Oryzias latipes: one gene and its partner. Each later gene encodes a partner of the first gene's protein in a complex. Links are inferred from orthologs where the notes say so. Each region holds a gene or a part of one and is shown in the gene's direction. Other genes may lie near its edges. The genes, in order: tapbpl and orla-uba.

The links.
Region 2: the proteins of tapbpl (region 1) and orla-uba are in contact, whole or in part, in an NMR structure (PDB 7RNO), measured with the Homo sapiens proteins. The link is inferred for Oryzias latipes from reciprocal best matches to the Homo sapiens genes TAPBPL and MR1. Residues at the interface, in NP_060479.3 of Homo sapiens: His47, Arg48, Gly49, Ala50, Ala52, Ser53, Ser54, Leu129, Met131, Thr132, Glu133, Thr135, Arg228, Gln230, Lys232, Gly233, Arg234, Gly235, Thr280, Ile282, Gln293, Ile295, Gln297, Arg307, Leu308, Ser309, Ile320, Cys321, Asp322, Leu355; in NP_001372090.1 of Homo sapiens: Arg101, Arg104, His105, Asn107, Thr129, Gly130, Phe131, Leu132, Gln133, Ile143, Phe144, Asn145, Asp147, Thr148, Leu152, Ala153, Val154, His159, Thr160, Lys162, Gln163, Ala164, Ala167, Asn168, Gln169, His170, Thr213, Phe214, Pro215, Asp248.

What each region holds. Positions count from the first base shown.
Region 1 is NC_019874.2:20,321,005-20,336,912, reverse strand, and holds tapbpl (tapasin-related protein), read left to right. Parts: upstream 1-2,185; 5' UTR 2,186-2,409; coding exon 2,410-2,455; intron 2,456-3,192; coding exon 3,193-3,405; intron 3,406-3,485; coding exon 3,486-3,755; intron 3,756-3,845; coding exon 3,846-4,049; intron 4,050-4,840; coding exon 4,841-5,008; intron 5,009-5,093; coding exon 5,094-5,191; intron 5,192-5,954; coding exon 5,955-6,180; intron 6,181-6,457; coding exon 6,458-6,525; 3' UTR 6,526-7,472; downstream 7,473-15,908. Other genes in the region: uncharacterized protein LOC101173495, read left to right, coding at 1-1, 98-464; vesicle-associated membrane protein 2, read right to left, coding at 11,317-11,333, 11,656-11,707, 11,996-12,154, 12,272-12,407, 13,195-13,196. UniProt on the Homo sapiens protein: Component of the antigen processing and presentation pathway, which binds to MHC class I coupled with beta2-microglobulin/B2M. Association between TAPBPR and MHC class I occurs in the absence of a functional peptide-loading complex (PLC).
Region 2 is NC_019869.2:15,981,069-15,998,484, reverse strand, and holds the start of orla-uba (major histocompatibility complex class I-related gene protein-like precursor), read left to right. Parts: upstream 1-6,483; 5' UTR 6,484-6,600; intron 6,601-8,739; 5' UTR 8,740-8,799; coding exon 8,800-8,857; intron 8,858-17,416. UniProt on the Homo sapiens protein: Antigen-presenting molecule specialized in displaying microbial pyrimidine-based metabolites to alpha-beta T cell receptors (TCR) on innate-type mucosal-associated invariant T (MAIT) cells.

The sequences.
Region 1 (15,908 bases):
GGTGAGCAAACACTGACTGACAAAGTTTTAAGAACAGTGGTAAATGTGTGCTGTTTTGTTTTTATATTCATTCACCACGATTCTTCCCATTTTTCAGACTGGTATCTGGCTTTGGCCTTGTAAATGACAACGGTTCCCGGATTCTAACAAATAGGATGAAATATGTGCAGCTCCCACTGGTGGATCGTAAGAAATGCAACGATTCATTCAATTTGCTAAAGGAAAGAAAGCACAAGGTGCCACACTTGACAAACAACATGTTTTGTGCTGGAACCCCTGAGGGAGGAAAGGATGCATGCCAAGGAGATAGTGGAAGTCCCTTCACCCTGACTGAAAACAAACAGTTCTGGGTAGCTGGAATAGTCAGCTGGGGTGTGGATTGTGGGTTGGCGGGGGCATATGGAGTTTACACCAAAGTGGTTGAGTATCTGGACTGGATCAACAGGACCATGCAGGAAAACTGAAAGTTACAGTTTTGAAACAGCTCAAGTCAAAAGGAAAACAACAGAAATTGATTTAGCCTATTTACAAAAATAAAAAAACTAACTAAACACTTTGCGACTAAATGTTCAGTTGAATGTTTGCCATCGTACTACAACACCTGATCAACTTTAAATAAACTGCTTAAAAATAGAGCCTCTGTTATTTTATGTATCCAAACATTTTTACTTAAATACTAGAAGAACCAGTTTGACAATTTTTGAAATGTTAAATCTCTAAAGTAGACTAACAATTCAAATGTACATTTTTTATTTAGTACTTAACTTATCGTTTGAATGAACATACTTCCTTAAGAAACACAAATATGCACACATATACACACCACACACACACACACACACACACATGCACGTGTATTTTTATTTAAGATTAGCAGCAAGCTCTTGTACTAACTATACAGAGAAGCCAGTTAAAGTATTTATTTGACCAGTAGTCTTATATAGTGTGCTCCTGTTGCAGCTGCGCGAGGCCTTCCCAGGTTTGGATGGTTAAGGATAAGAAAAAACAGATGTGCAAATGGGAAAAAGGAAAAATCACACAAGTCTGCATGAATTTTCAAACCTTTTGTTAAAGGGAGAGCCAGCGGCATCTGCAGAAAGAAGCGCTTCGCCTCTGCTCTGATCTGCTCTGGTCTGAGTCCCCCCCCCTCACAGCTAGCAGGTTTTATAACCCGACATGTGGAAATCAAGGGATGGCATCCAATGGCTCTGTGCTCATCCTTAAAAGCAAGAAAGTTAAGAGACAAGCCGTTCCTGGTACAAATGACAGTTATTACTGCATCCTTTCGGCACAGACAAAAAACTGACGCAGGTTTCAGCGCTTACTTCACAGAATGTTCATGTCTGTAAAGAACCCAGTGAATGCATAATCCTAAAGTATAAAAATTATAATAAAATGCATTATAAGTATAAAGTATAATTAAATGTGTGATAATACAATATGTAGTCGTACTACAATGCTACACTCCCTATTTTATAGTGTGTTTGTCTCTGCAGAAAAAGTGTAATCTCACTTTTGGAAATGCTTAAGCACACAGACCCAAACTGCTGTGATGCGTATGAATGAGCATATGAGGGATTAAAGGTAAAATAATTAAAATGATTTGTCAAAACTTTTTATGGTAGGCCTATAATATGTTAGTTATAATGTAATAATAAGGTTTGAACAGAAAGGCAGTAAGAAGAAAAGAAACAAAAAGAGTTCACTGTGTGACTAAAAGTTAAACAAACTCACAGTTTACCATGACATGAACCAGAATCACAAAACACAAAAAGTTGTTTAAAATATTTTATTTCAAATAGAGTTGTGAAGATTGTGCACTCTTGCTTGGATTTTTAGTGACATTGTCTCAGGTCTTGTCATGTTTTATTTTCTGGTTTTCAGTTCCTCGTTTTTAGGTCATCTGTTTTATCACTCTTTTGCTACTTTTTAGTTTCTGCCATGTTTAAGTTTATTTAATAAATGTTAGAGTTTCTGAGACCAAGCCTCTCTTTTGTTTTACCAATAAACGTCTTTTATTCCCCAAGAAAAAAACAAAACCAAAACGTGTATTTTTGTTTTTGACCCAGCTACCAGTGACGCTTCCCTTCCTGCTCTCTCATTGGACAGTTCCCTCCGGTTGCTTTTTTGCTCGTCCCTTCTCTGAAGCTTGACGGCGCATGCGCGTGAGATGCTAAAAGTCTGTTTTTTCTAAGCATTATAACTTATAGTAACTCGTCCGATTATTAGGTTTTGTCTGTGATGAGCGCGAGAATCGTTTTTTTTAATGAATAGTTTATGAAAAAAGAAAATTAGAGAAACCAATGATGCGTCGTGAGACCTTTTCAAATCAAAAGTGAAAGTGCTGTAGTGTAGTTATTCAGTTATCGTTAATAAATGGGCAAATGACAGGTTAACTTCACTCTGATAATGATTGAAATCATTTTCTTCGGATTGTTCATTACCTGCGTGAATGGTAAGATAGTCTATGTTGGCTTTTTGTTGTAGCATCATCTCGTCACAGTGGATTTAACATAGTTAGAGTCTCCTATTTTCCTTGGGCTTGTTTTTAAAGACCCACTCCAAAAGAAAATTGTGCTTTTCACATATTATTTTTTTAGCTTTTGTTATGTACATCTTTCTGACTCAAAACTGTACTGTTGGATAAACTACTATTTCTAGCCATTTCTGTTTCACCGGTAATATTATGTTGGGTGGTGAGGGTGTGTAAGCAAGCAGGAGAGAGCACACACAAGGGGATGATGGGCAAAGAAGACAAGCTCACTCTGCACCAAGAGTCTCGCCCACATCTTAGAGTTCTAAACAACTACTGCCACTCTGCTGAAACTGTCCCAGAAAACAACATAGGTTCTTTGATTTTGCCTAAAAACGGTATAATCACAATTAAAGATGGTCGTAGTGGGCCTTTAAACCCGAAAAAGTGCTTGATGTGCACCCATTTTCTGAACCCAGCTATTGCATACCTCAATGTAAGCTCAATACAATAAATGCATGAATTGAGAAATAAAACAATATAATTTAGAGAATCAGAAGACTTTTAAGTTACATACTTGTCTCCCTTTCACTTCAAATCTTCAGATTTGATCAACTTTTCACATGAAGCCAGTTTATTAGTGGAGCTTAAATTGACCTTGACTTGTTAAAAGTGGCTGCAGGGTAAAAACAAGTGGACGTGTTCTTGCTGTATTTCAGCTGACGGAGCTGCAGATGTAGTGCTATCCTGTGCCCTGGTGGAGGAGGGGTCTGGACTCAGTGGAATGGAAGGTGGTGCCCTCTTCTCTCGGACGCCAGCCACCCTTGTCCTTCGAGATGTTGCCGTGGGCCCTGAGGAGCCTTTGGAAATGCTCTCTCCATTCGTCCCTCCTTCAGTCCCCGATCCGGAGCTCTTTCTGTTCGAGGCTTCAGGTCTGTCCTATTTTCTTCGTGCATCAACCTAAGTCTTATGCTGGACCTTGTGATGAATGTGTCTCATCCCGCTGTGACAGTGACCTCACCCGACATTCCCAACACAGACCGGTTGCTCCACGCTGATTGCAACGAGCTGGAGGTGTTGTGTGAAATAAGTCGTTACTCTTCTAAGGGGCTGCAGGACAGCTCAGATCAAACTTTTTTCATGGTGTCCATCACAGTGGAGGAGCTGGACTTCAGCATTTCACTCATCCTGGAGACTTTACCAGTGGAAAAGCATCAGTCAACGCTTATGCATAACAAACTGGGTCTACCTCTGAGTCAGTCAGGAACTCTGCTAACCAAAGGTGATATTCAGAATTTTCTGCTATCTTTCCTTTTTTTTTTTAAAGAAGCTGTAATTTTTTCCCTTTTGTCTTTGTCCATTGGTGTTCTAGCTATATTCGTGGTGTTTTCCAACACCAAGTCTTTGTCTGCCCCTCTGAGGGGAAATGTTGTCCTCGACTGTGGCTTCAAGCAGCAAGAAGTACCGTTAGCTCACCAGGTAGATGTGGAATGGCGGCTGCAGCACCGGGGAAAAGGCTGGAAAGTACTCGACTTGAAAACTACGCTGGATGATCCAGAAGGCGTCCATGCAGATGGTGGGCATTGTGAAGACTGAATGAGTTTCCTTCAGCATTTTGAGGAGCAAGCAGGAAAACCCTCGCTGGATTTTAGAGACATGGTGCTGATTTTTAGAAACCGTTTTGCTGCTTTTCATCCAGAGGAACCCTGAAAGTTTATGCTTTATTGTTACTTTTTCATATTTTCAAAAACAAGCTCTCATGTCAGAAATCAAACTGTAGAAATTTTGATGTTTACAATCCTCTTGATAAACATATTTTGGAACTTTGCGTTAAATTTTCCAACAAATATAAAATAACGCTAGAATTAAGCATGTTAAATCTACGGTCTGTTTTTGACAACATTTCCTTACATTTAAATTATATTATCATAAAATACATGTAGATCATCCAAAAAAGTTTATTTATATGTATACAATACGGTAAAAAAAAGTCTGCAAGAGTTTTAAGATTAAAGAAGATTTTATTTATTTTTGTGGTTCCCCTAAAATGAACACATGCTTGAATGCTACTTTAATTGAAAAGTTTTATTATTTATTTAATATTATTTATTAATTTATTTTGCTTTTATTTAAAATAAAATAAAAATCTTGAAGGGGTTAGAAGACAAAAAATATTATTACTTTTATGTTTTTAATCATGTTTGCTGCAACCTACAAGGATGCTCCAAAGTGCAGCGTGAGATCAATTGAATTAATTGTCTGTAGCGGCATCTAGTGGTGGAGTTGCACATTGCAACCAGCTAAAAATCGTATACAGTATTTATATCTAGAATGGACATCATCTAACTCTGGGATTTGTGTCCTCAGTGAATGTGGAGAGGAAAGATTCAAGCATGAATGCTGGGCTGGTTGTCAGAGAGGGGAACGTGTCTCTGACTCTGCCAGCTCTGAAGGTTTCTGATGAGGGGACCTACATCTGCACCGTCAGCATCGGTCACTTCCACGCACAGCAGGTCATTCAGCTCCACATCATTCGTAAGTTTCTTTTTAACACGAGTTCCTATTTCTTATGCATCCAGTTTTAATATCTTTTGTTTGTTTGTTTTTCTTTTTTTTTCAGAACCGCCACATATTTCCCTCTCAGAGGAAAAGTTGATGTTGAAAACACCCCAGACATTAAAGTGCTTCAGCAGAAATTACTATCCACTGGACGCTCAAGTCAGTACTCATTTAGTATTAAAGATTATGGAATATTTACATTTGTTTTAGAATTCTTTAATTCTTTAAGTTCAATTATAGATCTAAAAATTGACTTTAAAGGATTTTATACCTCCATGTTATTATTTGTAGAGCTGAAATTCTTTTAATGAATCGTACTAAAATCTGAGAATAGGCGTGTTCAAAAGGTCTGCCTTATCGCACGAAGCTTTCACTCAAAGCTTAATCAGACACATTTGTACATGACTTTAAGATTTAATACAGTTGTGTTAAATACATATGTACTGAGCTGACAAAGTGATGCAAAAAAAACAAGGATTTACTTTTGTTTTTGCTGTGTTAATGCAAATTTCTCCCCAGCTATGACCTGCCTTCACCCTACAGCAGCTGTGTTAGACTCCATCAACCCTCCACAAAGAAAGATCTCAAGATGGATGGAATTAAACAGATAAATAAATAAAAAGTGTTGCCTAAAAGACTTTTTTTAAATCTTAAAAATGTGTTGTGAGCATCAAAACTTAAAATGGAAACTGAAAATAGTTAACAAATGATTTGCTGCTTTCAAATATTGTTCTTGCTCAGAGAAAATTCCTGCAGTTAAATCACCACAGATGTTTAAACCCTTTAAATTTAACCTTAAAACCTTTCTGTTTGTCCAAGAATATGATCATAATTGTTTGTCTGTCCTTGAAAGAACTCCAACTTTGTCAGAGTGGCGCTTGCCATAGCGATAACAGACAGCTTCTGGTGGTCTCTCTTTCAGATGGAGTGGCTTTTTGTTTCTCCAACTGCCACAGAGCCAGAACTCTTCAAAGACCAGGGCTCCCTAACCAGCCATCGGCAGCATAGTGACGGGACTTTTTCCCTGTCGTCTCACCTCGTTGTGCCTCCCGCCGTCCCCCCAGGAACCAAGATCATCTGCAGGGTGTCTCACGTAGGACTGGATGCTCCTCTCGATGTCAGTGTGTTGGTTGAAACTCCTAAGATAGGTATGTATTTACCACAAATATGACTTTGTAGAGGCTAAAGATATGTTTTGAAATGTTTAAATCAGGTTTTTGAAGTATTTAATTTACTAAATTAGACTGTTAATCAAAGGCCACATGTTCTTATTGGTGAGAAACTTTTCATTTCTTCTGCCTTATGATTCAAAAATAAAGGACAGATTTAAGTTGAATACTTTTCGTTATGGAAAAGTGATTAACATTCACGGCACCTGTGAGTTGATGTCTGCAAATGAATAAATATACTGTATTTCTTCTACAGATTCTTACTGGTGGTTCCTGGGTTTCCTGATCGTCACCATACTTTTTTTCTACCAGGTTATGAAATAAATCATAGCACTTCTGAAATAAAACAGAGGCAAAAATTTGGTTTTACTGTGTCAGTCTTTAAGCAATTCATAGCTTTAAAAAAAATTGAGTTAAAGGTAAACAATAAATGTGTTTTATTGTATTTAATTAATTGTAATTGTTTAATATTGTTTCGTATGCTCAGTTGTACAATTTTATTGTGAATTGTTATCTTGGTAGGGTTAATCCCACCGCTGCAGTTATCGTTCTTTTAATCTCAGGGAACCTAATATTTGGAGTAAAAAAAAAGATCTTAATTTCCTGATTCATCATGAAAGTGCAACATTTTACAAACTACTTACTCACAGAGGAGAAGAGGCATTTCCAACATTCTATCAAATTACTTGACCCTCATCCTTGCATGTTTGACTTTACAAAAACTCAACAAAAAAAAAAAAAACGTTGATATTTGTAGAGAAGGTGCTTGTCATCCTTACATCCTTAAACACTTCCCTGTTAAGTCTAAAGCTATTTCTTTTTATATATATAATGATAAATTCAAGAGATTATAAACTAAACATGGCTCTGCATCCCTACATTCATGTTTTTCTGAGAGCCAACACCGTTTTCTGGTCTGTCCTCGTCTTTTTGTAGTATTAATAGGATTTCTTTATTTTGCCAATGACACTCTAAAGTGTTATTCGGGTTTTTGTTAGTTTACAGTGCAATGCTGAATGGTGAATCAGGAAATCCAATCAAGAGAGACAGGTCCGTCTTTTATTTATTGAAGAACGTTTGTGTTTATTGCTGGGATTTGATGCTTTTCTTCCTGTCAAACATTTATCTGGGCACAGTTCGTCACAAAAATGGGACAGCAGGGTAAAAGTACGTTTTGTGTGCCCAAATAAAATGCATTACATTGTGTGACACTATGACCTTGTGTGTAAACCGACACTGGATTATTAACAAATTAAAGTTTGAAGCTGTGATTATTCTTTTTATTTCAAAAAATTGTACCTGTTCATGTAAAAACCAAGCAGTAAAAATATATTTTTTTTAAAAGCAAAGATTTCAAATCATTTTTTAGGAGACAGCTTCCAGTGGCACATGTTTATTCCTGTCTCCAACCACAGACTTCTTCTTTTTTTTCATGTCTTTTATACATTTAATGTCAGATGTATCATGATTATGGCAAATCCTCTCTAGTAAGACAGGATTTGCCAGAGGTGTAAAATTACATTTTTCTAATTCTTTACCTGTCAAGCAAAGCTAAATTATCTAATTATTTTTTTTAAATTTACCCACCAGGCACAAGATCTCTATTAGATAGCTAATAGACAGCTATAGCTATTGTAGATGTCTGCTGAACATCTCAGACAACTCTATTTTGTTCTATCTACTCTATTTTTAGTCTTTGGTATGACTCGGCTTAGGAATGGAACTCACAACCTTCCAATCTCAGGGTGGACACTCTCCACAATACCACTGAACTGTTTAAGTATTTTTTTTAAACATTTACTAGATATAAAATAAACAATGCAATTTCACAGCCAGTATTATACATGATTTTGTTAACAGATGGCTGAATAGAAATCTCAAAATTTAACATTCCACAAAGAAGCAAACATCTACACTGAACTCTACCTAGGGTCTTGGAAATTTGCATCAAAACAAAAAGAACACATATAAATGCAACTTCATGTATGAACAGCCTATTCCTGCAGAAGAGCACATCTTAAATTTCAATAATCTTATGAATCAAAACCCAACTTGGGACATATACACACAAAAAACTCTTAATAACAATGCAATACTTGAGCAAGTATAGTTTGAAAAGTCACTTGTAACAAAGTGATCCCAGTTTTCGACATCATCAGATTGTTGTTTAGCATTGTGGATCTAATTCTATGCCTCTTTACAAATACTGTCTTCTATTGCATTGACAAAAAGTTGGAAATATGGCCTCTAAAGCACACAAAACAACCATTTACTGGCCTTTTAAATTATTCTTTCTTATTAAATGACCCCAACTTAACTCAAACAATTCTTGAGAAAAATGGCAGCTTGTTTATTAGGCATATGGTAGGATATAACCTCAATGCCATTGGCCGTGGGAAAGTTGTCTGCTGGAGATCAAAACAGTGATGTGCAATAGACCTCCGAGAACTGATGGATGCATAATGCATATCTATAGCTGTAAATGTCAATAAATACCTGATTTAGATATCTAGTTGGATGTGTCTGTGACCTGCGGGTAATTAGGTTACTGGCAAATGAAAAATTTAAGGGGTTAAACGTTTATACATTTTGCCATGAATTCGATTTTTAGCTGGTCTGTGATGAGTAAAATACTCAAATTTCATCAATTCTTCGTGTGAAAACAACTCATGAGTTAATGGAAATAATCTGTTGGCTCCTTTTGAGGTCACTTGCAAAAGCAAGAATTTTTTAACCACCTACAAATATTTTAAAAGAAAATAAAAGTCAGTATTTTATTTTTTTGGTTTTGAATTTAACCTTTTGCCTTTTAAGCATTTATTTGGTAATCTAATTACATTAAGGTTTAATAGTCTCTAATCTCTCAAACTCCACAAAAACAATTTGCTGTGTTTCCTTAAGAAATGTTATATCAGGTCAGTGGTAATTGTTCATGATAAAAATAACCTTTGGATGAAAAGGAAATTTCACATATTTATATACGTAATAGAAATATATTTTTGACTGATTGATACAGGCTTAGTGGGTAACACTTTCACCTTACTGTGAGTAGGCCCTGGTTCAAATCCCGGCTCTTTGATCTTTTCATGGATGTGTGGGTTTTCTCCGGGCTCGTCAACTTCCTCCAACAGTACAAAAACATACTTTTAAAGGTAAACTGGTGACCTTTAGGTTTAAGCGTGAGTGTGTCTGTCTGTCTTTGGCTCTGCAATGCACTGGTGCACGATCCAGGGCGCCCTACGCCTTTGCCCAACAGTCACTCAGTAGACTCTGGAAACCCATTGACACTGAAAAGGACTAAGCAGGTATAGAAAACGGATGATTGGATGGATAAAAATCCACTATGAATGCGGTGCACTTCATGATTTCTTTATTGACATCAGCAAAAGTGATAGACATGCATTTCTATTTTGCAAATCCAGTTGCATTTCATCGTGAATGTTCAGGTCACCAAACCCATTTATTTTTCTTAAATCAGGTTCAATTACCCAACAATATTGATACACAATATATTTCGATACTTCTGGCTTAGCTCTTCAGTTGTGCAGAAATGCACATTGACTTGATATTTTTTCTGTTTCATTAACTTTCAGAATCAGTCCAAAGAAAGAAACCAATCCTAAATTATACAGCAGCCTCCACTTCTAGACCTGAAGGAATTAGTATAAACATTTTCAGCATAAGCTGACTGATGGGTACGATGGTTCCACAAATACAATACTACATGTTATTGACAGTTCATAATAATAGTGTTTGCTTACGGTGTCTGAATATTATTTTTCTCTTACTAAAGCAAGTGGTTCTAACAAAACTTGGCAAACCTGTGAGCATGGTTGCATTATACGTTGCATATGCAGATCTGTTCGATCAGAAAGACGTTGGGATCCCACTAACTGAAGAAAAATGTACAATCGGCAGTAAGAATCAGAAATGGCAGACACAGAGATTACACAAAAGGCAAAACTACAGACACCGTTTGCCATGCAGGTTAGAAACACACACCTCCTTCAGGCCATTGTGGTTCTTCAGGCGACAGATGAGTCCGTTTTTTATTTTTTTTTGTCAGCAGGGGATGGCGAGGCCTGGCTCAGACTTTCCTAATCCTGTTCTTTTTCCCAGCAATCCTGCTGTTTCATAACCATATGGAGACGCACCAAAAAACAAACAAAAAAAAACTGTCCAAACAAGTTAGTTTGATAGGCGATGCTGCATCAGCTTATGGCTGTGACTCTGTCCACACCAGTGATGAGACTTTCCTCTCAGTCCTCTTCATGTGTTTGTGTGGAGATTGTCTGCTTTGTGTTTTTTCATCTTGTATTTTAGATCTAGCATAATGCCACCCAAAACCCCAGGCTAACATTGAGTTTATCTACAAGACTACTTCACTGATAGCTATCGATTCTAAATTAGGTTTCTTATTTATGCAGGACACTCCTACTCAATACTCCTACCACCTCTCCCTGAATCACCTCCTCCTTTCCCAGGTCCCTTTTTTGCATTTCTCCTTTCTTGTAATCTTTTTGCACAAGTTTCTCATGTGACAGGAAGTTGGACAGGAAATGGAAAAAGTTACTGGTAAAAGCTTAAGTTGATTTTGGACAATTTCTCACAAGCAAACAACATAAAGTTTAATAACTTTATCTAACATCGGTTAGTAAGCAGCAATGATTGCAGCAGTCTTGATGAAAGAGAGTCTGTTAGTTAGCAAACAAGAATAACAAAAAAATGAATGAGACAAAGCTTTGGCTTGACTGGACTGGAGACTACAAACTCTTGTTAAATCTCCCATTTTTGTATTTTCCCGTTTGTTCCCCTAAACATCCCTCTATCTCCGTCCTTCTCTTTCACTCTGCCGGATGCAGCCTTCAATAATACATGAGGAGCAGAGACAGGGGAGCACGAAAGAGACCTCATGGAGAACAGGGGAGCAAAGCAACATGAGGAAGAGAGCATCTTTGAAAACTACTGTCATGTTTGATGGAAGGCTGAGAAGATAAGGAAGAAATGGCTGAAAAAAGGGGAGGAGTGGCGCTTGGGTTAGTTCTGGTTTTTCTCCTCATCCCCCCCCCCTACATCCTCCTGAAGTTCATATCCATCTGTGGCGATGGGAGGAGCTCAGTAGAAGAAGTACACTGCAGATGGAGAAAAGAGTGGTCATTAGTGCAATGCAAAGCACATGTCATCTGTTCAGATCCAGACTTGGGTTCTTTCTTTTGGTCAAAATCTAGTGATAAGGTGTAGAACACTGAGGGTTCTGCAAAAAGCTGACAGCGCAAGAAAATGAGGCCTAATTTATTTTTGTTTTATGGAACATTCAGTGTTTAGCAGCACCAATGAAGTGACTCATTTGTGTCATGAGATTTATCACATCGTGTGAACGCGCTACCATAACTGTGGGAGGAGAGCCAGTGAACGTGTTCAGCCACTTTCAAACCAAAGGCACCTTCTACTCACAGAATATTATTCCAACCACAATGACTCCAATGATTCCCATCATGATCATCATCTGAAAAATGAAAACCACAAAAGACGGGTCACCATCTCCAAAAGATCAGAGCAAGTCTGTACAAAATAATATATTTCAGAGTTTCAGGTGAAAACTGGACTAATTGATGGGTTTTCTCTTTCTGCCCTGAAGCATCAGAGCTGCTTCCACAGCAGCTCATTACCACTTTATGTAGTTTTACATGCATTCCTCTGACTTTAAACTGGCATATGCTCAACAGAGATTACAATATAAGTGTCTCTTTGTCAGGAGTCTGTGTAATGGTCCATCACGGACTAATGTGCCCACCTTGCAGTTCTTCCACCAGTATTTATTTTTTAGCTTGGCTGCGCAGCTTTCAAACTGAGAGGCTCCGGCCTGCAGAGCGTCTGCTCTGTCATCCAGCTCTGAAAGCTTCTGGTCTCTTTCCAGAACCTTGTCCACGTTCACGCGCATGATATCCACTACCTGCAAAGGGCAATGCATTTAGTCTGATAAATAAAGGAGACAAGAATACATTGCATTTCCCATTTAACATTTTAGATGATATCTCTTTGACAAAACAGATATTTCAGTCTTGCTTACCTCCTCAACTTGGGCCTGTGTCTGTTGTAGCCTGCGGTTGCTGGACGTGTTGGGTGGGCCGGCTGGAGCTCCATCTGGGCCCGGTGCTCCTGGAGCACCTGGAGCTGCAGCTGGCGGGGCAGCATCTGGAGCAGACCTGAAAAATGGAATTGAAAATATTCTTCACAGTTCTTTTTTAATTATATTTTGCACATATATAACATATATGCTTTCCCTAGATCTTACTAAATTATGTACATGTGCATATTTTTAATGGGTCTGTTTAAAAAAACAATGTAAAATACAACAACAAAAAAAGTTAGATCTGGGTTTCTGCAATGGCTTAAAACTGTTATTATTTTTGGTAAGTAAATTTAAAAACCTCGAAAAAATGTTTGCAAAAAAGCTTCTTGAAAAGCAAAAATTTAGGAAAAAAAGAGGGGTTAAGAGATGCAATGGAGAACAAAAATGGTGTAAAAATAAATAAAAAAACTGAATAAATGAAGAACATATGATGAAGTGGAGAATAATAAAAATATACATTGATGACCACAAAAACAATGGTTGGACGGTGATAGAGATGATGTATAAAGCAAGAAGCACAGAGAACTTCTCATCCAAAAAGCATTCATCTGTTTAAGACAAAAATTTGGATTGAAAAAAAGTCCCAGGTTGGTTTAAGTGGTGACAGCAGTTACCCTCAGAATAAAGAATGAATAATTCACCAGAGCTCAGACAGAAATTTTCACTTGCGTCAGCAGAAACCATCAAGGGAATAAAAGAAATAAAAAGGAAGGGTCTAACAGTTTCACTTTGAGGAAAAAGAAATACATTCAAATAATCTAGATTAATCATGACCTGGCTGTGCTTATTAGTTAATGTATGTGTGTGTGTGTGTGGGGGGGGGGGGGGGGGGGCAGCAGGAAAGCCGCATTAATACTCACATCTTCTATGCAGCTGTTAGAACGGACTCACAGCGGCGGAGGAGGGGCGGCTGGAGAGGGGAGGGTCTGAAGTGGATGGAGGGGTAAAAAAAAAAGAAAAGACCCCAAAGATTTTTTTAAAAGATGCAAATTTGCAGGCAATTGCAGTCCAAACAAAAGGCAGAACTTTTAATCAGCAAAGAGGCTGGAGGAAGTGAGGGCGGAGGGTCTTCTTGGCGCAGTGGAGCAGATCTTTTCCAGCGAGTCTTTGAGTCATCAAAGTACCGCAGTACAGTAAACAGGTCGGGTGATAACCCACCAAAGGAAGCTAGGAGAGATGGAGGGGAAGGGGATCACTTGTAAATCCTAATCCGCTCCGGAGAAACGCGGATGCGGAGTCCCGCGCGCTGCATCCAGCTCCTCCAAGAGATGCTGAGTGTGCTGAGCTGCTCCTGGATGCTGACTGAGACGCGACGCTGATTGGCTCGCGGTGCAGTCGCCTCTTCTCAGATCTCTCCAAAAGGGAAATTAAAGAGAAAAGAAAATCCCGCAGTTTCAAATCCGAGCAGGAAAAGTACAGAGGTGACAAATGTGCAGTCTGACTTTCATCCCTCCTCTTCCTCTTTGAGTGGTTTTGCCCGCGCTAAGTGTTACGGCGCTGTGGACAACTGCAATGATGCGTCTCTCCTGCTCCCTTCTTCACTTGGACTTGTAACGACGGTGCAGTCCCCCCTCCCCTCTCCTCCTCTGCCTCCCCTCACACTTTGCAGTGCTGCAGCTCTCCGTGTCGGATGGGGCGGCGGGACGACACTGCGGTACAGTGGAAAATCTACTGTGTTGACTCCACGGTTTTCATCTCTGGACGGGATTGCCCCACTTTTTGCCCTCCTCCCGCATCACATTCCTCCCTTAACACGACTGATTCCTGTATCCTTCTCATACGCCATGATGTTTCCATTTTTATAAATGGGAGAAGTGAGGGAACTAAGCCTTGAAAATACATAAAATGCCCATAAGTGTTTAGATTGAGTAAACTGCATTTAAGCCTTATAGATCAAATTGTTTGTTTGGGCTTTAAATTAAACTGAAGCAAGTCTTTTATATTTCGTTTTTTGTGTATTTTCCTGCAACTATATAATCTAATTGTTATTATCACTTCCTGAATGAATGCAAACCATCAAGGATCTTTATAGCTATAAAAAAAATGGAGAAGTTGTCGTATATTTTTGTTTGGGAAATGTTGTGATGAAAGGGGGGCTGGTAAGCTTGGTAAGATCATTTTTTTCTTCATTGTAAGATTTTTTTTGTCAATTTAAAGAAAATCTGCCACTTATTTAAATGGTAAATGGCGTATACTTATATAGCGCTTTCTACCTTCTTATGAGGGTCCAAAGCGCTTTACAGTCACAGTATAGGGGCATTGTTTTGCATTGTACCAAATACTTTTGATTTTCATTCCTAAGTTCAAGTTTTAACTAGATATAATTAGATATTGATTTGTATTTGTTTGACAGTTTCATACAAAAGCTCATTGTTTTGGGACAGAAAAGGTTTTTATTCAATTCAATTCAATTTTATTTGTATGGCCCAATTGCACAACAACAGTCGTCTCAATGGGCTTCGTATTGTTGAACTAACTAAAGTTAGGTGGAACTCTCATTAATAGAAGCAATAATTTTTACATTTTAAAGTGGTACAAAATCTTTTTTTTTTGCCTGAAATACTTTGTTCTATGAGATTCATAAAAATTGATTCGTTTTTTTAATCCCACTCCCAATACATCAGTAAGACCCTGCAAGAGGAAATATAGGGAAACTGTATTTTGGATATATAAGAGAATATAAGTTTAATATTTGCTGGCTCCGAGACACATTGCAGATATTATATAGGTAATTAAGATTGTTTTTTTGTGAGCCAAGAACTAGACACATTTAGAAAGGCGCAATAAATTATTTATGAATTTCATTTAACTTCCATCTTGATTTTCTCTTCTCTGCTGAACCAGTCCTTCCTGCAATAAAGCAGCCAATAGCATTGTGCCATCGCCATGGTTAAAATTTAGATGATGTTCTTAAGTCCAGCCCTTCCATGCCAAACAGTAATATTCTTTGGAAGAAATTGAATATTAATTTTATTTTATTCCAGAACATAGAAGATCTTCACAAATAGTATTTTTACTACTGCATGTTTCAAACCTTTCAAATAAAAAAATGTATTTCAGTTATGAATCCTGTTCCTCTGCTCTCATGTCCTATTCAATCATCTGTCTTTTGACTGAAGAAATTGAAGTTTTTGTTTTTTTCCAGTCTTCCTCTATCCCTCTTTTGAAAGTACATGAACAGAAATACACAATTCTATCCAAATATCCCACCTTCATCCTCTTTTTGACAATTGCCATACTTTTGTTCTTAAAACATTTTACTCTGGAAAATCTATGCAAACATGTTTTTTTTGTTTAAATATTTTATTTTTTAAATTTGGATTATGAAAAGCTTCCTCTGTGCATCTTTTTCAAGAAACTATTTTATTCTTCTGCTTTTTTTTTCACAGCAGCTATTTGATTGAGATCCATTTCCACAATTTGCCAAGAACTCTCAATGTGCATTTTCAAGCTTTTCTGGTATCTGACTGCTGATGTTACATTAACATTTTTAATTATTGCTTCTATTTTGACTTCACTTAAAAAGAGCTCATGCAAACATTTAAACCTGCTGAAGCTTATCTAAAAGGCAGGA
Region 2 (17,416 bases), on another chromosome or scaffold:
GCTGTTCTCTTACCGTGGATGAAGCACCAAAGCGCCACCAGGGAAAGTTTATAAATGGTAGAAAAGTCCGTCATGTTTTTATGTGTCCCATCGACTTTAACTCACGTCTCATCTGTTCTTTTACTCGCTGCAGATCATTAGAGCAGCTGGTTTTCCCCAAAAATATATGCTAGCTCTTTTAGTTTCACTTTCACCTTCAACATGCTAGCGTTAGCGCATAGAGATTTTCACATCAATAAGAATAAAAAGAAAAAAACGAAGAGCAAAATTTGTATAATTGATAATTTAAAAGCAAATATTTAAATTATGTACTTCGAAAAAATGAACAAATAAAATAAAAACAAACTAAAACATAATGCTAACAACGAGTCATCAGGCACCAGACCGCTAGGTGGCGCCACGACCAAAGACATAGACCAGGGGTCGGCAACCCATCGTTTCGGAGCCAAGTGTGGCTCTTTCATCCATCTGTTGTGGCTCCCTGTGACTTTGGAAAATAATGAGTATTTTATAATAATTACATTTTTTTAGTTTGTTCATTTTTCATGGCATTTCAAAGGCGCTGATGGCTCCATACGAAGCGCGAGCCACGTAAAAAACAGCTTCGTAATGAGCTCGTATTTATCGGGCGAGACCTGCAGAGCTGATAGCAGGGAGAGGCACGCGGGGCGGCTTCAATAGACCTTTTTCGCAAAAACCGGAAGTACGTCATCAACGTGTAAACCTAGTTCCGGTTTGTGCTTCGCTGGCGGAGGAATGGCAGAGCCTAGAGTGTTTTCGAAGAGCCTGAGTTGTGTTCCGAAGTTCACCAGCACCGATGTGATGAAGAGTGTGAAGATGCAATCGTCCACTAAAGGAAACAAATTGGACATGGGATATAAATTCGTCCACGAAGAGTTTATCCACCATTACCAAGGTAAGCTTCAGCTAGCTTTAGCCATAGCCGCATCACCGGTAACTCTGTGTGTTTACGTCAACTGTAAATCCTGGTGTTATTAATTTGTAATATAAGGCATCGCAGTGAATATGTTGTGTGTATGTTTAAGTGAAAAGGCATGAGATTAACATAACACCCAAAAATTTGGTGAAGCTGTAAATAAGAAATGTTAAGTTGCCCGTATGCGTGTTCATTTTGCTGCGGTTGCGGCACTTTCTTCACTTACTAGTATTATTTTTCTGAAAGTATGGTGAGCAGAAGTCCTCTTTTCCTGGACATGTCCTCTCTTTTGATACTTATATAATAAAATAACATTGAACATAGATGAAATGTAATTATATTTGCTTCATGTATGCAGCTCTGAACACCAATTACTCTCGATGAAATATCTCACAAACTCACTTCACTCCTCTTTTTTACAAACTCAAATCTGGTCACCCTATTGACAGTTATAGTTTCATGTCATTCTGAACATTGATGTAGCAACATAAGTATGTCCTAATTTTAACCTATATAATTTATTGTGTCTAGATATCACTGGACGCAGAAAGTGCCAACCTGAAAGCTTTCGTCTGCAGTTGTGTGGCTGCTAAAGGATTTTGCAATCACATAGTTGCCATCCTGTTCCAGACCGCACATTATTCACAGCTGGGTCTGCAGGCTGCTCCACCCCCCTGGCCTGCACGAGTGGCTTGCAAAGATGGCACAGGTGGGTTTGTGATCATATTGTCATTATTTTTTAAGAACGTATGTGTATCCATAACAACTCTAAATTATTATAAAAACACCCCAAGTAGTTACTACAGACTTTAATTGCTTTCTGCCTTTTACTTATAAGGGAATCCATCCTGAACCGGTTAGTGAGCTGATGGTGCAAAAACCCAAAACAGTTGGCAGGGACGGTCAGAGGTCCACACTGTACAAGGCATACAGGTGATTAACTTTTTGTTGCTTTGTGAGCAAGTTAAGTTTTTTTTTTTTTAATCTTATGACTAACCAAATTATGGTTACAGCAGATATAATGAATTAAATTGAAATGTAGTTATGCACTTATGTCTAACTTTTGTGTGTTGTGTTTCTCTTGTGTAGGACCACAGCCAGATCCATATGATGGCATCTGGAAGCAGATTATGCCAGGTGCAGCCCCAACCTCTCATGGTTGTGTTGGATGGGTTTCTGAGATGGAATGAAAGAGAACTTGGATATATATTGTGGCAAATGCATGAATGCACACCTTAAATTACACTTATCTTGTCTTTAACAATCAGTTCAGCCTTCTGTCTTACTGTTGATCTGTAATGTTATTTTTTATTGTAAATGTTTGATGTTATTTGCATACCAAAAAATTAAACGAGGCACAATTTTGACCAAAATTGTTTTATTTGTTCATCTAATTTTTTTGTGTAGTCAGTCACATTTCAACAGAAAAATATTACGAATATAACAATTATATTTAATTAGATTTTAAGAATATGTGGAAACACTAAATTTTTCCATACTATTTGCACATTATACATTATTTACATACCAAACATTAATTCACTCTTCAAAACAAAAAAGTCCATGATAATTTGCCAAAACACGGCGGTTAAGCCAGATCTGATTCACACTGCCCATCAGTGTGAGCGGCACAGAGAGTTCCTGATGTGAAAGGACTTTATCCTACTGATCACTCTTTCCACCATAATTCTGAGGCGGGTGATGGCTGCGGTTTGTTCTGTTTCCTCCTTGCTGAATTGAGCTGAAAGCTTAAAAGGTGGAATATTGATCTTAGATCCAATGTCAGTTAGGAGGTCTTGAACGAGGAACTTTTGTCCGCCATGACATCGTCTCCTGGCTCCAGCAAAGGAACTTGGCTTCTAAGTCATGGATGTAATCCAAAGCCTCATCCAGAGCACCTGTGAAGATAAAGAAATTAAAAATCAGTCTTAATATATTAATGCTACCTTTCAACACAACACAGTAATCATGTTTTGAAAAGTATGTTAAGTATTTAATTACAAATACATTTCATTTATTTTTGTTAAGGAAATTACAAAATGACAAAATGCTCAAAAGTGATTAAATACATGTAATTAAAATAGGTGAGAGCATGAACATCTTTTATTATAAATATTAATTTGTTCAGGTAGAAATGCATGTATCCAATAACGGTACACATAGTTGACTAACGTTAACCAAACACATTATGAACAACCTTACCTGCAGGTGGGTGTGTCACGTAGTCGTGATCCATCTTTACTGTCTTAGCTTAGCCACCATGTCGCTATCTTCACAGCTTAGCTGCATAGCCTGACGTTTGAGGTTCTGTCATATTCTGACTCCCTTCTCAAAGGATCAGTAAAGTTGTTCCAAGGGAAAATACTCGGGGCAACACCACTCTTCAGGCGACGAACGACGCAGCCGCACCACAATCCCGGAGCGAAGTTAGTAAGTGCCGGCAGCAGAGGGTGCTACCTGTGTTTACATTAAAACTATGCCCTTCATCTCTTCGGATCGCCTATATCCATTTGGGTTTCAGGTTTAGATCCACAGGAAAATAATGAAATGAAAGGTAAGGCTGTTTTTGGTTGGAAGACGAACAGCCTGGAACGCAACAGAGACTGCAACTCTTCGACTCTGCCATTCTTCATATCTGCTGCTACGCTAACAGGAAGTTGTTTTACATGTCATTGACGTATTTCCGGTCGAAAAATGCGGAAGTGTGAAAAAGGTCTATAAACACTCCGATCTTCTGCCGGGAACTTGACGTACCGCGGGGCAGAGACCAACTCGCTGATGACAGACTGAGAGTTCGCGCCAGTGTTGCCAGATAGAGTCACAGTTTTCCAGCCCAAAAGTCATCTGAAAACCGCCAGACCCAGCCAAAAACCGCCCAACACAAGTTTTGATTATGTTTTTTCCCCGTACTGGACTGATAAAATGAAAAAAAATTCTAAATAAAAGATAGTTCAGACTAATAATAAAATGTGTACAATATTGAATATTTCTTCAGCGGGCCGCCTTCTTCCATTCATTTGCTTAACCCGCTATATCCCCGCTAAAACCTGCGTCCGGCTCTTTCATCCTTGTGCTGTGCTGGAGCGCCCCGAATACCGTATTTTGCGCTCTCTTGTGTAAAATACACCGAGGAGCGCGGGGGAAACAACTCTCAGCTGCAGAGGATGTGAACAGGTGAACAGGTAGAGAGGAAAAGCAGGTGGAGAGGCGGAGGAGGGGCTTTGGATCAAACTCTGTCAGAGAGATGCAAACACGGGCATCAGATTGAGACGCAGCTTTCACTGCAGGAGTTGAAGCAGAGACTTTCCCTGGGATGATTTTATGAACTCAAACATGGAAACATGATTACCAAGTAGAACTCTTCAAAATAATAAACCTGATCTCTCCACATTCTCAGTGTCTACCATGCATTGACAAACACATCGCTCCATGCAGCGATCAGACCAGAACCAGTAGCTCCTCCCACACGCGACCGCGGTATCATCCTTTAAAGAACATAATGTGCATTTGCAGCGACGTATGCTTCAGACGATGTCCGATTGGCCAATCTACATGTCAATCAAGTCCCTTACTTCTCAGTGAGGATTTTGATTGGCTGGTGGATTTTAAAGAAGTACTTTTTTTTTAATCTTTTCTGGCCCGCGATCTACACTCATGTCATTGAAGGTCGACCGGTAGATCGCGATCGACGTAATGAGCACCTTTGAATAATATATACATGCATAATATATATAATGATGTCAAAACGGGTTGTGGCTCCGAGTGCTTTCTTTTTTATTAGGGGCGGTCCCAAATGGCTCTTTGAGTAAAAAAGGTTGCCGACCCCTGACATAGACAGTGGACACAAAAACAAATTTTTGGCACAAATGGAACCTCATACAAATGGAACCTCATAGCGCCACACATCAAGGAATAAAACAGGTTCACATCTAGGAAGCATCCCAAAACAATTTACCGTAGTTTATTCAATTAGCTTGTTTAAAAATGTAATATAAAAGGATTAAAAATATATATATTGACTTTTCCATTCATGATCAGAGTCTTTTTATTACGTGTTTTAGAGCTTTCACTTTTATAGTTATCCTTCAGAAGTAAACAACGGTTGAGGCGAGGCCGTGAATTCTTCCTATTGGAATCCAGCCCGTGAGGACAGGGGTCACCTGAGGACAAAAGGAGCAAAAACAATGGAAACATGTTTTTAAATCTACGAATAAATTTAACTCACAGCGCTCTTGTTTTAATGTTTAATTTAAACGTCTAGTGTAAAAGTAATATTTTTTAACTTAAAAGTTGTCAAACTTTTCAGGCAAATCTTCCTTGCCGCATGAAAGCCTGTGCAAACCCTTTTTAAGATAAGATAATACCAATTGGGACCATTGGGAGTTAGGTCATCTAGACCCAGTAGACAGTGCTCTGAACCTTTTCTTTCTTCAATGATTTGTGATCTTCACTGGTGGTCATGGATTACATGAAATCTTTCCACCTTTATCCACCTTTGTCATGGTAGGGAGAACACTGTAAGGGTGGAGTCATCTAAGATAACACAACGGATAAAGTAAGAACAACAAAATATTTTATGTTAAATTTGAAAGAAAACTGCCAATCACACTACTATGGGTGAGAATTTATTGCCTCTTTCTTGCTGTTTTCAGTGCCTGTCTGTGGAAATATGATGTAAGACAAGTACAACAAGAAGCCTCTTCGTCCTTGCAAAAGCCACCAAGGTAACAAACACACCTATATGCAATTTCCTGGTTAGAGTGCAGACTGAATGCCCTTTCATCAAAACCAAAGACTGATCAGCTGACTTACCAGAAACAGACAGGAGCTGACTGTTTGTGACCAGAGGAGGAGCTTTTGTTCTACTGAAAAGGTTTTGTGGTTTCAAACTTCCCTGTTTTAGATAATTAGTTTAAAGTAAACAATTTAAATAAGAGGGGACAGAACCTTAGATGTGGTTTAACTTTACCATCAAGGTTTGCTTTTGAATACACTTTTTGAACTTTATAGCATCAAATGCAGTTTAATGTACTTTGTAAAAATATATATTATTACTTTATGTTTGTCTTAAGTAATAAAATAGTCATAAAATCAATCCATTGTGTGTCCTGTGTTACTGTTGCCCAAAACAAAACATAAAGCAAAAAGTATTGGAGTAGGGGCATCCTGTTTGTTTTTGATCCTTTATTAAATATTGTTAATCTTACAACTTTTCTCCCCTTCATTTTGTGGACCATATCTTCTCTTGGATAAAAGATTGTGGTGCAGCAAACATCAGGTTTAAAAATAGAAATTACAATCATATTTATTTCTAAGCTGCTTCTAACTGTTCTAAAATAAAGTCGCATATACACCCAAGGATGTGGCAAATTACATCTGCAAACAACAAAGACCACATGACCTAAGAATCGTGTTCTTGCACTTCAAGTACGTTATCAACCTCTCTGACGGCTTTTTGCCTAGACACAAGTGACGTAAAGTCATCGTGTAATTTTCATTGGTCCAAAATAAAAACAGGAGTTCCGGTCTAGGTCTCGTCAGGAGAAGTTCCATAATACAGTCTGGTTTTCCATGAAGAAGCAGGAAATACGAACAATGTAACCGCACAACAGTGATTACCCTTCTTTTTCTGATTTTTAGTGGAATACACAGAGCAGTGGCAGGTGAGTTTATAGTGAATGGGTAGATTTGGGTTATTTATATAATTGTCTAATTAAAGTTGTGTGGCTCTGCGATGGACTTGTCTTGTGCTTGTGGGCTCGTGGTTGTCCTCGCCTATCTGATGGGTTAGCCTTCAGAACACCATGATGATCCAACAACTACTTTAGACATTTCTTTCAAAATTACAGTCATAAGTCATATATGTGTGTGTTTTTTGTTTATTATGGGTCCATCTGTTGTCTCTTTATAAGAACACTTAAAGATGAAATGGAATAACAATTGTTTGTTTTTAGTTAAAATACAGGAAAAAAAATGTTTTTTTGCTTTCGCTTTTGGCTGATGTTATTTGAAACTGAAGGGAATTTACATTGACGACACATAAGATGTACATTGCTGCATTGCCCATATGTATTTTAAGTGCTTTTAATGTTAAATTTGGTTGGTCACACATTTCTAAAGGGTTATTATGAACCCTAACCTTAAACAAAATAAGTGTGGTAAGAAAAAGCTTTAGCACTGGCGGCAAGTATTTAGAAAATTATCATGTGTGCGAAAAGTTTCTTTCTTTGCTTTTAGCTTTTCTTTTTATGACACTTGTTTATTTATTTTATTTTTAATTGTTTTAACCTCTTAGTTGTTGATTCGAATGTTTTTGAGCTTTTATTGTACAGGGCTTTGTTTGACTGACGTCAGTTCATTATAGATAAATTAATTACATTAAACTTCTCTTCTGTTCTAATTATCAGTATGAGATCCGGGAAAAATAAGTCTTTAGACACAAGTTAAAGAGGTTGAAATACTGTGAAGCAGCAGTAAGTCAAAAATGTTAGCATTATTTCCTCTCTTTCTGTTAGAATAGACATAGACAAATAACAATGACAAACAACGTTATCAGTACATTTGATAAACATCTACCGGTAGTTTTTATCATAGGACACCATTTTTCATCTCCATTTATAGTCTGAAGGGTATTTCTGCTGACCTTGTCCAACAAAAGTCGAGAATGTTATAAACGTTTTATTTTAAAATTAATTCATTTAAAATTTATTTTAAATGATTTTAATTGATCACTCAACTACAAAAACCTTGCAGGCTTGCAGTCAGTACAGTATTGCATTTCCAGCTGCGTTCGCTCAGGTTGGGGCCTTACTTCTCCCGCCCCTTTCTCCTAATATTTTTGTGATGATTGACAGGTGATGTTGAAGCAAAAGCAAAAACATACGTCACACACCTGGTGATCTGTTGCTGCGTTGCGTCCACCTGAGTGATCTCAAACATGCTTATTGTGCATCTTGGCTGCACATATTTGGTGTCTCCAACATGAATCTCCATCCGTTTTTTATAAAAATGTAGGAGTAGCTGACCGGCTGCTCTACAATAACTTGTGACTGGGGTTTAAATGTGCAAAAAGTCATAAGATAGAAAATCCAAAAATGTTTACTGAATTTTGTTTCTCCTTTACTGATTTGTGGTTTAAAGAGTAAACTTAAAAAAAAAAAACATTCAACACAGACTCAGAATTGGGAGCACATCCTCTCTGACATCTCCACCTTCAATTTCAATGAGTCCAAGTACAGTCCAGACTTAATGAAAATCATCTTTAAGCCACACTGAGGGTCTCAGTTTGGGAGGAAGTGTTGCCAAGTGTCCAGCAGTAAGAAGAAGACAATAGAAGAACCATTGATGGATTTACAGAACTGTAGAATTGAAGTCTTCTTTAGTGTTTAATAGTTAGAATTCAACAGTGTTAACTGAACTGTGTTAAAAATGATGTTTAAATGAGAAAACAGCAGATATGGAAGATTAAATAAACAGAAATGTATTACTGATTTATTTACTTATTGATTTTTTATTAACATATTTAATTTGAATTAGAGTTTTATAAGTAAATTTTGTGCAGAAAACAGTTAACAATAGAGTATAGTTAACAGTATAGTACATGTTCCATACAAATTTATTGGCTCTCAGACACTCACTAGTTGAGTGTGTGTGTGTGTGCGTTGAAGTTGCGGCCCTCGCTCAGCTAGACCCTGCGTTCATTGGCCCCCAGGCAAATTGAGTTTGAGACCCCTGGTTTAGATCATAGTCACGTGCTCCGACTCTGACGTTTCATTCAATTATTCTCTGATCTTTTGATCCAGAACCCAAGGAACAGATTCTAAACAGGAAAGTGTCAGACTGAGATCATCAGAAGATCCAGAATGAAGATCCAGATGTTTCTGTGTTTTCTGGGACTGAGTTTCCACAGCGCTGCTGCAGGTCAGTCACCAGTTTTTAACCTTTTGATTTGATTTTGAACTGTTTGTGTTTTTATCAATCATTTTGTTCCATAGGAATTTTTGTTTCTTCTTCTTCAATATAATTAAACCGATGAGGTTATTTATATAAAAGTGAAAGAGTTTAAATCTAGAGCGACGTCACTGAAGTCTGTTTTTATTTAGTAAATCTCTGTTTATAACCAAATCGGCCGGCAAGATCATGGCGGTGACTGGTTTCTTTATCGAGCACCGAGCACCTAACTTATTTATTGAGCTTTTTTGAAGCAGCAAGATTTACCTTTTCCTGAACACGATCGGGAAACGTTCTGGATTGTATTTTTTGGATACATTCTACAAATTCCCACCGTTCAAAACGCCAAAATCTGCAAAAAGAAGCTCCGCTAGCTTGTTTTTATGTTAACCGACGAGCACAGTTCGGTAAGTTAGAAATATATTCACAGATTTGGACTTCCGGCCTCAATAACTCTTCTGATAAACATTAAAAAATGTGATAGCAGTTATCTCAATGCATTTGTATTAACACAGATAGGGAACTACAAATGCATGCCAAAAGAAAAAAGTTCGGGTTTTTTTTTTGCCTTTTGATCACAATTGTTCTCTTCGAGGTGTAAATGCAGACATGCAGCGAGCCAGCTGCCAAGCGACCGTTAACAAAGTGCAACCTCTGTGCAACACTTTTCTATAAAAATCAATAATCTTTTAAAAAGCGAAAATATCTACATTTATATGAACTGGTAATGAAGACCTGTCAGCATATTCATGCTACAATAAATATTTTGTGAGAAAGTCCATCTTTATTATATTTGATTGCATACATTTTTCACATTTTATTAGATGTATGAATCATAAATAAAATGAACAACAGCTTTAAAAATACTGAAGCTACAGTCACCATACTTCCTTTACCGACTAATTATGACCTTACTGTCCGACTACAACACAGATTTGGTCAGATATCCACTTTGTTTATTTTTAGGAATTTTTCATATAGAAATATGGTTCATATTTTGTCAAAAATGTTTAATAACTCTGAAAGTTCTGAAGCTACATTCACCAAAATCTTTGTACTGAGTAATCATGACTTGATTGGGTAAAATTATATTTAGAGAAGAAACTATTTATTTCAAAATTTGTCTGTGAACAAACTTTACTTGTAATTTCATCAAAAGGATTACTTCTGAGTACACTCCAGTGTTACTAGTAAGGAAGTTGGTTGAAAAGTAATGAAAAGTCTGTAAAGAAAGTTTGGTAACAGAAGCTTTCAGTATTTTCAGAGCTATTAAACATTTTTGACACAATATGATCCACATTTCTATATGAAAAATTCCTAAAAAACAAACAAAGTGGATTTCTGACCAAATCTTTGTTGTAGTCGGACAATAAGGTCACGATTAGTCAGTACAGGAAGTTTGGTGACTGTAGCTTCAGTATTTTTAAAGCTGTTGTTCATTTTAATTATGATTCCTACGTCTACTAAAAGGTGAAAAATGTATGCAATAACTTTTTTTTTTTTTTAAACTTGTCCTGTCCAACAGCTAGGTAGGCAGATAAGAGCTGAGGGCCTCTTGTGTTGGACATATTTTACTTTAACAAGAGGGGTTATTAATCTTCAGACAAACCAAAGGTGTGACTGGACAAACCCCTTTTGTAATTGAGGCCAAACTTTATTCATTTCAACCATGATTGAAAATCTTTGGTGTTGGACCGGACGGAAAAGGAAAGAAGGGAAGAAGAGGGAGGGATGTCGGGGGGGGGGGGGGGGGATAGTGAGAGGGGGGGGTAAGACCATGAAGCAACATAGAGCAGACAGGTTTACTGGTTGTTTATCATTACGGTACAGTTCAAATGTAGTTCAAAAAGGGCGGGGCCTGTCCACACACACACTCAAATATTATCAACACACCTGCTAACTGCAAAAAAAGTTCACATGTCAACATGTACACAAAACAGATAGTGTTCACGAACGCATACCTTTGCCTTTAAACCAACTAGTGTGAAATCTTTCATTCATTCAATCATGCAAACTATAAGTGCAAAGGTGAGCTAACACCTGTGCTCAGGTGGGTGTTTATGTTCTTCTAAAATGGATAGTGGAATGTGAAAAGAAGGAGGAGGAGCGCCCAGCCACCCCCACACCCAGACCCCCGCCCCAGCAGCAGCGGCAGCCGGAATTCCCCCAACGCCACACGGGAACAGGCAGGGAACAACCGCCCCCCGGGCGACCAAGACCGCCACCCAGGCCAGGGCCAGCAGGACCGCCGCGAGGCCCCCAGAGCCAGAGAGCAGGGAGGCGCGGAGGGAAAGAGAGCGCCGCCCCAGCCCAGCCAGGAAAGCAGCCCCCCCGCCGCGCCGGAAGAGCCCAACGCAGGGCCCCACCGGAGAAGGACGCCCACAGCCCCAGACGAGCACCCCACCACCACCCAGGAGTTCCGGGCATCCCCCTGCCCCAACCCCAGGTACGAGCCAGGACCCCCCAAGGGAGACCCGCTCCGCACTCCAGGCAGCCACCCACCCGGCCCACGGTTGGTCCAGGGAGGGGCAAGGCAGGGGCCTGCCGCCCCCGCCCAGGAGGGGGGAGCCCCGGGGAAAAAAGGGTGGCCCACAAGGGGTGTTATAAATATGGCCTGACCAGGCTCGGCCATGTTGGAAGTTTGGCGGGGCCCAGCGCTCAGGGGCAAGGACCAGGACCCGCCCCCCAGGGACACGAACACCCCCGGCTCAGGTGTAGTATGAACCCCCCCACCGTGCGGAGAGAGCACCGCCGGGCCCAGGGAGCCGGCACCCAAGGGACACGGCCGCCATCGCCAAGATGCCTGCACCCCCCACCAGGGAAGGGGTAGGGGACAGATGGACCCAGGTCCCACCTTCCTTGCAAAATGTGTGTGCGTGTATGTGTGTTTGAGAGGGTGTGTGTGTGCATGTGTGTGTGTTTATGTTGGAATGCATATATTGAAGGGGGAGGGGTGTGTGTACTAAGGGGGGTGCAGTTAAAATTGGCGAGTAGGGCACTGAGGGGACATCTCCTGATTACTCACAGTGATGTCCCCTCACCCTCCCCACCAAGGGGCCCTAAATGTCTAAGGTTAAATTTGGCGGGTAGGGTGCCAGGAGGACATCTGCTGCTTGCTTGCACTGATGTCCAAGCACCCCCCCTACCAAGGACCCTACATGTCTAAGGTGCAAATAAATGCGAAAGAGGGGGGGCCCACTCCATACGGCAACCATAGGAGGGGGGCCACTGCCAAGTAGCCCCCCCCCCAAGGCGCATCGCAGGCAAGACCCCCCACCCCCTCACCCTAATATGAGGTTATATGAGGAAGGGGGTAAGTTGGGGACAGCTGGTAGACTGTCCCCAGGTGGTCAAACAGCTGTCCCCCAGCCCCCCCCCAGCAAAGGGGCCAGGGCCACCCAGCCCAGGGGCCCCACCCCCGGAGGCGCCGACACCCCAGGCCCGGCACCACCCACCCCACACAGAGAGAGAGGAGCCAGAAAGCGTCCCCCCCCCCCCCCGGAGCAAGCCCAGGCCCCCACCCCCAGACGCCGGCCCTAGAGGAGCTCTGGTCAGGCCTTGATGGGACCGAGGAGGCCAACCGGCCGAGGCAACCACTGATTGCCTCAGCGGAGACCCCGACCCGCTAGCCCCCCCGACCCGTACCAATAATGCCCCCCCCTCCCCCCCCAGAACGCCCCCCCACAGGACAGGGCCGACAAACCCCCCACCCCACCCCACCCCAGACCCCGCAGCCGAAGCGGGTGACACCCAGAGCGACCGGGGGCCCCGAGAGGGTTGTCCCGTCCCGTCCCAGAGCCAGGGAAGGGCCGATCCCAGCCCCAGGTGCAGATGGGCAGCCCATCCGGCGCCGCAGGGCCCCCCGCCAACCCCCCCCAGCACAGGCAAAGGGACCACCCCCCCAAGCCAAGCCAGACCACCACCCCACCCCCCCACCACGCACCACCACACCCAAGCCCAGAGGACCACGCAGCGCCCCAGCCCGCCACACCCAGGCACCGGACCCGACCCCCCGACCAACGGAGCCCCCACCGCCCCCGCCAGGCACCGGAGGCCCCGACCCCCACCCCAAACCACAGCAGAAGGGCAAGGAGCAGCGACGACCAAGCCCCCCACCCCCCTAAGTCATGAAGTCAACCACAGGAGACCAGAGAGACTGAATTCTTTCAAAGTTACTTGAGCTTTGGGCTGACATTTTTTCCAAGCTGATATGATCAAACAGCAGATTTCTGTGTTGACTTATGTTTATATGTTTCTTGTTTTTCCAATTTATTAAAATCGTTTTTTTGGCAATACAAAGAGTTATGAAAATGATAGATGCTAATCCTTCTTTTATATCGATGGCACTCATGTCACCAAGCACACAAAGTGACGGTGAGGCCGTGATTGAAACCTTAAGCCAGACTGATAAATCGGCACATACCTGCTGCCAGAGAGCCTGGACAGGAGTGCAGAACCACAGTGCGTGCATGTAGCTGTCGGGTAGATTATTATCACAGTACTCGCAAATGTCTGAGTTACTGAGACCCATCTTGAACATCCTCTGTCCAGTGTAGTAAATTCTGTGAAGAGTTTTGAGATGGATTAGCTGCAGATTTGGACTTTTTGTCAGTTTAAAGGTGTTTAGACAGAGTTCTGACCAGAAGCTTTCAACTGTGCTGATGCTCAAATCTGCATCCCATTTTTTTGTTGGAAGGGCAATATTGTTATCTAAATTACATAAAAGTTTGTATATTTTGGAGAGAGTTCTATTCATTGAAAAATTAATCAGAGTGGTAACTACATCTGGTAGCTTTAAATTGTCGTCTTTAAATTTATACTTTTTAGTAATACTTGATTTAAGTTGCTGATATTCCAAGAAGTTATTTATTCCATGTTTGTCTTGAAGTTCCTGGGGAGTTATGAATCTTCTATCAATGCAATAAAATATAATTGAAATGCATTTGTAGTTCACTATCTGGGTTAATACAAAAGGATTGAGATACTTGCTATCACATTTTTTAATGTTTATCAGAAGAGTTATTGAGGTCGGAAGTCCAAATCTGTGAATATCTTTCTAACTTTACCGAACTAAGGAGCATGGCTGCTCTGGCAGCAGCATGGACATACCCGTGACTTCGGAGGAGGAATTTCCTTCACTCCCAGTGACCCCAAGTAAGCCTCCCCTTGCTAAAAGGCTTACTATGCCCTGGTCCACGAAGTCTGATGATGCAGTTAATATGCTCGCCGAACAACAACAATCAATCAAGAAGTGATGCTTTTGAAAAAATGGTTAAAACCGTCTGTTCCGAAATCAAACTCATAAATGACAAAGTTGATGTTATGGAAAAACGTGTGGAGAAAAATGAGGAATCTACATCGAGATGCTTGGCGCAGGATGCAGATCTGGAAGCTTATGGTCGTCGATGGAATCTGGGGCTTTATGGCCTTCCTGTGGCTGAAAGAGGAAACCGTGCGTGAGGAGGTGATCAGCATTTGCCATCACGTTTTGCTGGAAGGTTTCATGATGCTGTTGATGTTGCTCATCGGATTGGAAGAAAACGCCAGGAGGACCCAAGGCCTCGAGGTATTCTAATCAGATTCATCTCCCGGCGCCTGAAGGAGGAGGTTTGGAGAACGGCCAAGAAGAACGGATTTCTCCAAGCTAAAGACTTGGGCTTCAACGAGGACTTAACAAAAGAGGACAGGGAGTGTCGGCAGAAGCTGTTGCCTAAAATCAAAAAAGCACATGAGGAGGGAAAGGCGACTTACTTCCTGGGAGGCCGTGGATTTATTAATGGGTCAGAAGTGCACCATGAAAAGAGAAAGATGAAGGGGGAAAAAAAGAGAAATTCTCTTTTTTTTTTTGTATTTTTTTCTCAACCATGTGAGGAGTCCTGTGTGTTCTCTGCATTATCAGGAACTTTCCCCCTTCTCAAATCCCTTTTCAGTTTTATATTTGAGTTGATTCCCTCTTGTTTTGTTTTTGTTGGGGGGTCGGAATGGGGGATGGGGGTCGCAAAGGGAGGAAGAAGAAGGGGCATGAGAGAGAAAAGGAAAATAAAAACCTTAAGAGTTTAACATTTTTGTGAACTAAAGCTGCTAAAATGGATTCAATAGTGCTGTTCTTGATATTGCACTATTTTTTAAATATTCTTATAGTGTTTATAAAACATAACTTGTTTTCTGTGTGTTGTTTATTCTAGTTAATCTGTTTACTCTATCTTCTGTTTCTTTTTATGCCAGGGGACTACGCAATAATGTTAAGCTCAAAGCTTTATTTCTTTTTGCAATTTCACTCAGATCTCTGTTATTTACAAGAGTCTCATTGGATATCTGATGATACCAAATTCTGGAAGTGTCAGTGGGGTAACTCTTTATGGTTTTCACAGGGTACAGAGCGATCAGCTGGGGTAACAACTCTAAAAAATATCTGTAGTGGGGACATTTTACTTACTAAAAGTGATCCATCAGGTCATTATATTTGCCAACTACTACAATGTGATAATAATATTGTTATTTCAGCCAACATTTATGGATACAACACTGTCAAAGAAAATGATCAACTTCTTATCTCTATAGAAAATTTACTGTTAGAATGGTTAGAAAATTTTCCCAAAAAGGATCATATTATTGGGGGGTGACTTCAATAATGTCCCACATAATAATGTAGATAGGTGGCCTCCTCGTGGGCTAGATGGAAGCAACACCAAGCTAAAGAATTTTATAGAGAAATTTGACCTCCATGATAGATGGAGAAGGAAAAATCCTGATGTCAAATGCTTTACATGGAGTAACAAAACTGGTACAAATAAGTCCAGAATTGACTTTTGGTTGGTCTCAAAAAGTGTCATAATTATTAAGATAAAGTTGTCCACCAAGTTTTGTGGCCCGCATTCAGCTTATTGGAAACTGAATAGCTCTGTTTTACTGGATGACTGTTAAAAAACAAGTCAAAAGACAAATAGCACAATTTTTGGTCTAAAGTTAATATAGACAAGAAATTTGGTGTATACTGGGAGGTTTTTAAATTTGAAATGGGTAAATATCTTAGAAAAGTAAGTAGTGATAAGGCTAAAAGTAGAAGAGCATGTGAGGTAAATGTCATTTCAAAAATTACTCACTTGTGTCAAAATAATCCTGACACACTATCAGATGTAGTTAAACTCCAACTCTCAAACCTTCAAACTGAATTGGATAATTTATATCTTCAAAAAACCAAGCCAGCTTTTTTGAAACCACGATCAAGATGGCTTGAAAACGCTGAACAAAATTCACATTATTGTTTTAATCTGGAGAGACACCATTCTAAAGGTAGTAGCATACACAGAATTGATATAGATGGAACTATTTCAGAAGACCATAAAGCCATTTCTAACTACTGTTGTGATTTTTACCAGAGACTTTATAGTTTTTAATTTTGCCAAGTTTCAACAGATGCCTTTATAGATTCGTTAACAGTCAAGACCATCACTGAAAGTGAAAAGGAGCAATGTGAAAGCATGATTACACTTGAGGAAGTACAAAAGGCCATTAAACAACTTAAATCTAATAAATCACCAGGGACAGATGGGCTGACTTCAGAGTTCTATAAATTTTTTGTTGAGGATCTGTCTCCCCTTTCACATCAAATGCTTTAAGAAAGTATTGATAAAGAACTGCTTCCTACAACATTGACTCAAAGCTTGACAACATTTATTCCAAAATCTGGAAAAGACACGTCATTCTTAGATAACTGGCATACAATATCCCTATTCAACAATGATTATAAGATCTTTGGTTGTCCTGTTTCTCCGTATATTTTCCTTTTAGTTTCTCAACTGTTATCAGATCACATTAAATCCAGTGTAGTAGAAGGCATCAATCTCACTGACAAATAACTAATTATTACTCAACTTGCAGATGACACTACACTTTTTCTAAAAAATTCCTGTTGCGTTTGCCATTATTGGGAAGTTTTCAAAGGCATCCGGCCTTTGTTTAAATGTGAATAAATACAAATCAGGGCTCGACATAGCCATTTGTCCGCTGGCCCGGTCCTGTTTTTCGAGCAGTACGGACCACAAGACTTTATTTTTCACTTGTCCGCTCGGGCCACTAAAATATCTAACGGTTAATACATTTTTCACCTTTTTCAATAACATATGTTTTTTCAAAAACGTGTAGATTTACCTCGTCTTCATAATTTACTTTTTCTGCTAGTCCTGTGTTCAGACTTCAGAGGTTTCTATGGGAAACCTTTTATCATTCTTCTCCTCCTCTCCCGCCTGCGCGCGCGGCTGTCACTGCCGAGCACCACGCGGCACACGCTCACTCTTCTTTTTATTCAAACTTTATTGAATGTAACAATTAAATACAAAACAATGTTAAACAGCAAAAACGAAGGAACAAGCCAGTGGGTTATTATTGCATTTTACGCAGATATATTTAAACTGACACACACATCAGCGCGCCCCCTGGTGGTTTTTCACTGCGATGATCTTAAATCCGACACCATCACTGAAGAGAGACTGAAGCATGTCAGAGATGTGGAAGACATGGCAGGAATAG